Linked DNA regions of Tribolium castaneum. The protein of the gene in region 1 binds, or shares a complex with, the protein of each later gene. Links are inferred from orthologs where the notes say so. Each region holds a gene or a part of one and is shown in the gene's direction. Other genes may lie near its edges.

What was found.
Region 2: Pdrg1 (region 1) and Pfdn6 share a complex: the UniProt entries of both Homo sapiens proteins name them as parts of the PAQosome complex. The link is inferred for Tribolium castaneum from reciprocal best matches to the Homo sapiens genes PDRG1 and PFDN6.

The regions. Positions count from the first base shown.
Region 1 is NC_087396.1:22,906,419-22,910,098, forward strand, and holds Pdrg1 (p53 and DNA damage-regulated protein 1), read left to right. Parts: upstream 1-2,555; coding exon 2,556-2,844; intron 2,845-2,892; coding exon 2,893-3,059; 3' UTR 3,060-3,123; downstream 3,124-3,680. Other genes in the region: Pgi (glucose-6-phosphate isomerase), read right to left, coding at 59-298, 350-623, 676-984, 1,124-1,383; Prosbeta5 (proteasome subunit beta type-5), read right to left, coding at 1,550-1,861, 1,909-2,301, 2,348-2,482; Datp (bis(5'-nucleosyl)-tetraphosphatase [asymmetrical]), read left to right, coding at 3,211-3,316, 3,361-3,677. UniProt on the Homo sapiens protein: May play a role in chaperone-mediated protein folding.
Region 2 is NC_087394.1:25,216,193-25,220,040, forward strand, and holds Pfdn6 (prefoldin subunit 6), read left to right. Parts: upstream 1-2,264; 5' UTR 2,265-2,401; coding exon 2,402-2,465; intron 2,466-2,510; coding exon 2,511-2,827; 3' UTR 2,828-2,902; downstream 2,903-3,848. Other genes in the region: glu (structural maintenance of chromosomes protein 4), read right to left, coding at 1-87, 735-875, 922-1,109, 1,157-1,261, 1,315-1,491, 1,537-1,728, 1,774-2,001. UniProt on the Homo sapiens protein: Binds specifically to cytosolic chaperonin (c-CPN) and transfers target proteins to it. Binds to nascent polypeptide chain and promotes folding in an environment in which there are many competing pathways for nonnative proteins.

The DNA.
Region 1 (3,680 bases):
ATATTTTCAAGTATTGCTGGTTCGTAATTAATCAATATTGCCGGGAATCGATACTTACGTTCTGTTCCAAGGGCGCCGACCTGAAGTGGTTATCCATATAATGCGCCCCTTCCAACAACTGGAGAAAATTCTCGAACCCAATCGCCAGCGAAATACTAAGCCCGATAGCGGACCACAGGGAATACCTACCTCCAACCCAGTCCCAAAACTCAAACATATTGGCCGTATCGATGCCAAACTCCTTCACTTTCGGCCCATTTGTGCTCAAAGCAACGAAATGTTTAGCAACAGCAGCAGGCTAAAAACCCAGTTAAAACAACAAAAAATTGCATTTTTGCAAGCAAATTACATCTTTAGCATGGGTTAAGAACCACTGCTTGGCCGAAGTGGCATTGGTTATTGTCTCCTGTGTTGTGAATGTTTTCGAAGCAATGATAAAAAGTACAGACTCAGCGTCGATTTTTTTCAAAACTTCGGCTAAATGCGTACCGTCGATGTTCGACACGAAATGCATTCGCAAGCCGCGACCGTACGCCTTCAGGGCTTCGGTCACCATAAGGGGGCCCAGGTCGGAGCCCCCGATGCCAATATTCACCACGTCGGTGATGGGCTTGCCTGTGTAACTGAAAGCGAAAAAATTACCTGTTATTATGCAACAATAATTGAATTAATTACCCCTTCCACTGCCCGCTCAGGACCGAATTAGTGAACTGCTTCATGTGCTCCAGGACCGCATTCACCTCCGGCATCACATTTTTCCCATCGACTAGAATCGCCTGATTGGAGCGATTACGCAAAGCCGTGTGCAGTACGGCCCTGTCCTCTGTAAAGTTGATTTTCTGCCCGGAAAACATTGCATCGCGTGCATTTTCGACCTTGCGGGCGCGGGCCAAGGAAAACAACAGTTTGAGAACATCGGAATTGATGCGGTTTTTCGAATAATCGACCAGGATGTCGCCATCGTTGGGCGTTTTCAGCTTCAAGCTGAAAAAAAATCAAACAATAATATTATCTCAGTGGCCTCCGGTTAGTGAAAACAAACTCCAGTGCAAGGACGCGTAGAGGTCACTCGGCTTTTCCAATTTTCCGGGCGATTTTTCAATGAAACGCGCTTGACACTCACCTGAAGTTGTTGAAGCGGTTCGGGTCCTGGGCGAAAAGGTCCTTAATCACCAGCTTTGAGGCGTTCTTGTTGTAATAATCTTGGAGTTGTTGCCAAGTTGGCTCCGAAGTCAAGGGTCCGACTTCCATGCTGTCAGATGTCAAAGTCACGCCTTTCGATTGTTTGGCGATCGTTTTGTGTTTTTCATCGTCGCCGATTGGGCACGCGCAGCGCACGGTGTGATAAATACAAATTACATACTTCAGACGAGAAACTCTCATCTAATTATTGATTTCTCACAACTAATTTTAATTAATCAATCCACTTACCGCAAATTATTAATTAAACTTGAATTTGGATGCGTCATAGTGACAATGACAGGAATGACAGGGAAAAACAAACGCCAACTATGTTAAAAAAATTTATTCAATTTAATTCATTACAAAGCTAAACCTTATTTATTTCCTGCAACTTCTCGTCCTGGTATTTGTAGTGCAAGTCCATACAGTCGTTGTTATCAATATGCACCCAGCCGGTCGGCTTCATATGGTACACCCTGACGATACCACCAGAATAGGCGTCCCGATGGGTGGCATGGTAAATCGACCGGCGCCCCAAATCATACGCCTCCTCATCCGTCAAATCCCACTTGTACCCCGAATCCAGGACGCCAAACGCATAAATGGAGCCCGAGCCAACACTGAAGACTTTCCCAGGGGTTCTGGTCCCCTCCGAATCCACGTAATACAGCTGGGGCCCCTGAACAACAACACTGATCAAGCGGTCTAACTTGTTCAAATAAATACCCTTTTGTCCCATCCTGCCAGCATCATGCCCATTGACAGCCCCATCCCCTTGTAATTATACACCATGTTGGCCATCAGTTTCGAGGCGGCTGCGACCGAAATCCGCTCCCGGTTGCGTAATTCGTACATGCGGCACTGCTTAGCCAGGACGCGGTCCCAATACACACAGTCAGCGGCGCCCCCGGCCAAAGTCCCCAGGAGAAAATCATTGATTTCGACGATTTTCTTCATGGTTTGGGAGCCGATGAATTGGCCCCCCGTGGCTCGGGAGTCCACGGCGAGCACTACGCCCCCCTTGTACATGAACCCCAGCGTGGTGGTGCCGTGGTCAAACTTGATTTTGATGTCCCGACCTGACTCGTCCTTCGAGAAGTAGGCCAGGTTCTCGGCCGGCTGTCACAAATTTGTTATCTGGGGGTATTTTCAAGGGGCTACTTACGTTAGAATAGGGGGGTACGCTGAGCAAAGTGTTGTGGGTGAAGTTGTTGCTCATTTTGGCGATTTCGTTGTCGAAGGGGGCTTCGCGTCTGAAGGTGTCGAAGTCCGACATTCCGCAAATCTCGGCTAAAGCCATTTTGGGGCAGTTTTGTTTGGTTCAAATGACGGTGCGAAAACACAACTAGCACCTAACCTCTAATGTCAAATGGATGATGGTGGTGGTTATGGTGTGTAAAGTTACGTCTTGTTGTGAGAAAATGTCCCAATTCCAAGACGTGCAAAACCAGAAATCGTTTCAATACTTATACGAGGTGGAAACTCTAGCGCAAGACATTTTAACTGAAAAAGAAACAAAGTTGGATTTGTCCAATTCCAGGAATAAGTTTAGGGAAGCCCTGAGGGCCCTGGAGGGCACAGAGGACCGAAGGGCTTGGATGCAGCTCGGTTCAGTTTTTATTGAACGACCGACTAGTGAATGTAAGGAGATTTTAAAAACAGGTCCGCAAAAAATATTTTTTTTACAATATTCTGACCAAAGTTTTTTAGAAATTGCAAACGCTGATAAGGATATTTTAGAGTTGGATAAAAATATTAAGAGCAAAATCCATAAATTAAGGGATTTGGAACATGAACCAAGGTTAGAGGGCTTCACCTTGAAACCCATTTCCTCGGCAGAGGCTAAAGCGTTACATAAAGCGTTCGGTGCAGTGTAAATTAATTAAGATTTTGTCAGTCCCAAGTCCACAATTAAATAATTGTAAATACAAACGTTTCTCAAATTTATTGTTTGACACTTCTGACAGTTTAACCGGTTGAATCTAACCTCACCTTTTAATTTTTAATTCGATTTACGTAAAATTTCAAATGAAAGTTGCGGCCGGCTTTGTGATTTATAAAAAGGCCTGCGATAATATTTTGTATCTTTTATTGCAAACTTCGTATGGCGAACACCACTGGACCCCTCCTAAAGGTAACCTTCAGTTTTTCCTTTCAAAAATAATAATGTTTTGTCAGGGCATGTGGACCCTGGTGAGACTGAGATGGTGACTGCCCTTCGGGAAACGATGGAAGAGTCCGGTTTGAAGCAGGAAGATTTGAAAATCTTCGACGATGTGAAGAAAATTTTAAATTACAACGTAAAGGGGAAACCCAAGAAAGTTATTTACTGGCTTGCCGAACTCACAAACCCCAAGGCTGAGGTGAAATTATCAGAGGAGCACCAAGACTTCAAGTGGTTGAAACTCGACGACGCTTGCACTTATGCAAAATACGCCGACCTCCAAGAGTCGCTCCAGTTTTTCGATAATTATATACGTTCCAACAAAAACTAATTA
Region 2 (3,848 bases), on another chromosome or scaffold:
TCGGCTTGTAGTTGGGCATCCTTTTTATCAGCCGCATTGAAAGCATCCTTGAGTTGATCCTTTTTCTGTTGCAACTTTTCATATTTTCTAGAAAAAAAATTGTTAAAACAAATCAATGTTTCAATAGCTATTTAAGTGAATAATACAAAATTGTTTAAATAATTTTTTGAAGGGATAAAAGCTCTTTATTCACGTATAGCATTCAATATTTTTAGAACGTTAAATCACAATTACATTTCAGTTCGCTTTTTGAAAACCTAAATTTTAATATTTAAATGAAAAAGATGAATAAATAGTTATTTATTATACAAGACCATAAAGAGATTGTTTATTTACGATTAAGTTCAAGAATAACAAAGACTTATTTCACGAAAATAATACTTTGATTTTTCTATAGCAGAGACATTAAGTTTAAAAAAAAAAGCTATTGTTAATCCTTAAAATTAACATGTTGGAATTTGTAACTTTATAAATTATTGAATACAATGAATTTAAAACAATTTATGTACGCTTGTGGTAAAGTGCTATTTTATGTACTCAAAAGAATTGATAAAGAAATAATGTATCATCTGATACAGAAAAAACGGTTGTGTGGCAGAGTGAATAAAGCGTTGCTATAAATATTTTATTTATTCTTTTGATTCATTTTATTGATTAAACTATTGTTTTATTAATCAGATTTAATTTATAAAATGAGTATTTTATTAATAGCATTGAATAAACGATTTATTTACCCAGCTTCTTGCTTCAAAATTTTCTCTTTTTCAGTTTTTTCATCTGAAATGGTTTTCAATTCTGCAATTAAACCGTCACGACTTTGTGTTAACTTCGCCTTGTCTTCTTCCACTTCTTTCACTTCAGCTTCTAAATCATGTCTGGAAAAAACGGGTTATAAATGGCACTCATTCCAAACAAACTCACAATTCTTTCTGATGCAAGAAATTCTTACAAACTGCAATTTTGTTCTCTGTTTTCAGAAAAGTAAGCGCTTCTTCCATAGGTCCCTTGAGTTGTTCCAACTGTTTTTCAATCAATGTGAGTCTGTTGAGTTTTTCAGTGCGCAAATCCGACAAATATTCTATTCTCTCATTTAATTGCTCCAAGGGTTTCTACAACAAATTTTTTTTTTTTGTGTTAAACTAATTAAACTTCTTACTTTGTATCTGTGTGTTCCAATGATATCTTCCAGATATTCCAACATTCCTATTTCGTTTTCATTTGCTCCTTTACATTTCATCATTGCGATTTCCTCAACTTCGCCCTAACAAAATTTCATTCAAAAATAAAGCACTTGAAGGAGAAATAATCGCAAACCTGCAAAATCAGAAACCTGTTAGTGTCGATATCAATTCCATGCCCCTTCAACAATTTCCCAATTTCCTTAAATTGGACTCTTCGTCCATTGAGCTCATAAAACGAACTGTTGTCTCTATTGGCAGTCCTTGACACGACAAATTCACTACCTGGAACAACCTCATACTCTTCCCCGGGCTAAAAACAATCACTTATTCACAATTTCATAAAATTAAGCCTTACCTTATCTACGATTTCACAAAAATGCACCGCCACATTGCAAGACTGAACATTAGGATACCGTTCAGAATTGTGAATCAACACTGATAATTTTTTGCACCTCATGCGAGTGGCCCTATATCCAAACACAAACAGCATCGAATCAATGACATTGCTCTTGCCGCTACCGTTGGGGCCAATGATGGCATTAAAACACTACAAAACACTCATTGTCTCTTGTCCAAACCGTCACAAACGTACCTTAGAGAAGGGCCCCAAAACTACATTTTCAGCGTAACTTTTAAAATAATTGTTCACGATCTTTGTGATTATTAAGCGAGTTTGCGACTTCTCGACGTTCCTACGTTTCAAAGGGGGCGGAATGTAAATATCATCCACATAAATACCCTCTTCGTCCGAAAAGTTCAAGTCTTCTTCGACTTGGCTGTTGTCTGGGTGTTCGCGCTTCTTTCCTCTGTTTTCCGTCATTTTTACACATACATAACATACAAGAAACTGCGGAACACAAGCATAACACAACTAAACTCGTTGAAAACACAAAGCACGAAGAAATTTCAAATTTTAACGGTTATGTTGCGTTGTTTTGTTTAGGGTGAAGTTAGTTGCATTATTTAATTCATGTATTAATACGGGTCGTGTAATAAGTGTAAATCGCCCCCTTATTTTCAGTAACTAACTGAGTTTAACGAAATACAGGATAATTATTCTTTTTTAGAGCGAAATAAATTTTTTGTCCTTAGTATATCTAGTTGGTGACGTAGAAATCCCTAGACGTGTGGGTGGTCGGCCTGTTTGATTTTGACGTTTGCCCAAAAAGGAAAAATTAAGATACACTTTTATATTTACTCCAAGATTATAAAACCGAGCAATGAGTGAAGATCTGCAAAGAAAAATCCAGTCGGAGCTGGACAGTTTCAAAAACACACAAAAAGGTACAATAATCTGGTTTTTTGTCCAACCTAACCAAACTTTTCCAGAGTTGCAAAAGGCGATTTCAACGAGACAACAATTAGACAGTCAGTTAAACGAAAATATGATTGTTAAAGACGAATTAGAAATCCTTCCTAAGGATGCTAAAGTGTACAAGTCCGTTGGTCCAGTCCTTATCAAAACTGAACTTGTTGAAGCTAGACAAAATGTGGGCAAACGAATGGATTATATCAAGAAAGAGATTTCGAGGGTTGATGATTTGATCACTTCGATTGAAAAGAAGCAAGATGTGCATAGGGAGGCGCTCCAAAAGCTGCAACATCAGTTTCAACAGGCGCAAGTGAAGGCTGCATTACATGCTTAATTTTGCGAAAAAATCACTTATTTATTAACACGTTTTGTAATACGAAAGAATAATAAAAATCTCGTTAACGCTTTATTTATTTAGTCAATTATCCACTGTTTCTGTTCAACCATGCTACAATGTGTTCAGCTTTACGAAGCCCTGTATACGTTATGGGATAGCCCCCTTTAAACAGTCTCAGTGCTGGAAAACCCCCAATTTCTTGTTCTCGAACTAATGCCTTCTCGACTGTCGCGTCCACTTGTCCCAGTTTAATTTTTGATTGTTGTTTCTCAAGAATCTTGCACACTTTTAAATACTCGGGGGCAAAAGCCTTGCAATGGCTACACCACGGCAGATAAAATTTAACCATTAAAAGTTCGTGATGACTGACCGCCTCTTTAAAATTAAATTGGTTCAAAATCAAAATTCCGTCTTCGGTGGGAAATTCATCTTTTTTACCACCCCCAAGAAAGGAAAACGTGGAACTGATTAAACCAAACGCCGACACGAAAGGGTGCAACATTTTGTGTAAAGTTAGCAGTAAGAAGGCCCCTTCAGCACACAACAGATTTTAAGCATTTTGACCTTGTTTTCAAATATCTCGAAAAATGTTAAAATTTGAAGGGAGCTGCCTTGTTTTTCTATTGCTCCGCTTCAGCACAAAAATGAATACGACTTCAGAGTCCTGTTTCACAAGGTTAACGCCTTTAAAAGAAAAACAGTACTTATTATTAAATTATTATTATTAAACTAATAATTTTAAAGAACATCAGGTAAAAAGGAATTGACGTTTAAAATCCGCGCAGTTTTGAATGTCAATTGTCAAATGTGCAAAAGATTGGTTAGGTTAGCCAAATTTTTAAAACGAAGTTAAAATAAATAAACAAATAATAACAATAATGAATATCCTCGACACGGTGTTGTGCACATCGAAAGCTGAAAAATATTCAAGCAATTTTAAACAATTCAGCATTGATGCATTCACTCTCAAATTGTTCAATGAAGAAGATTTAAAAATCTTGGGTATTGAGGAGGAAGA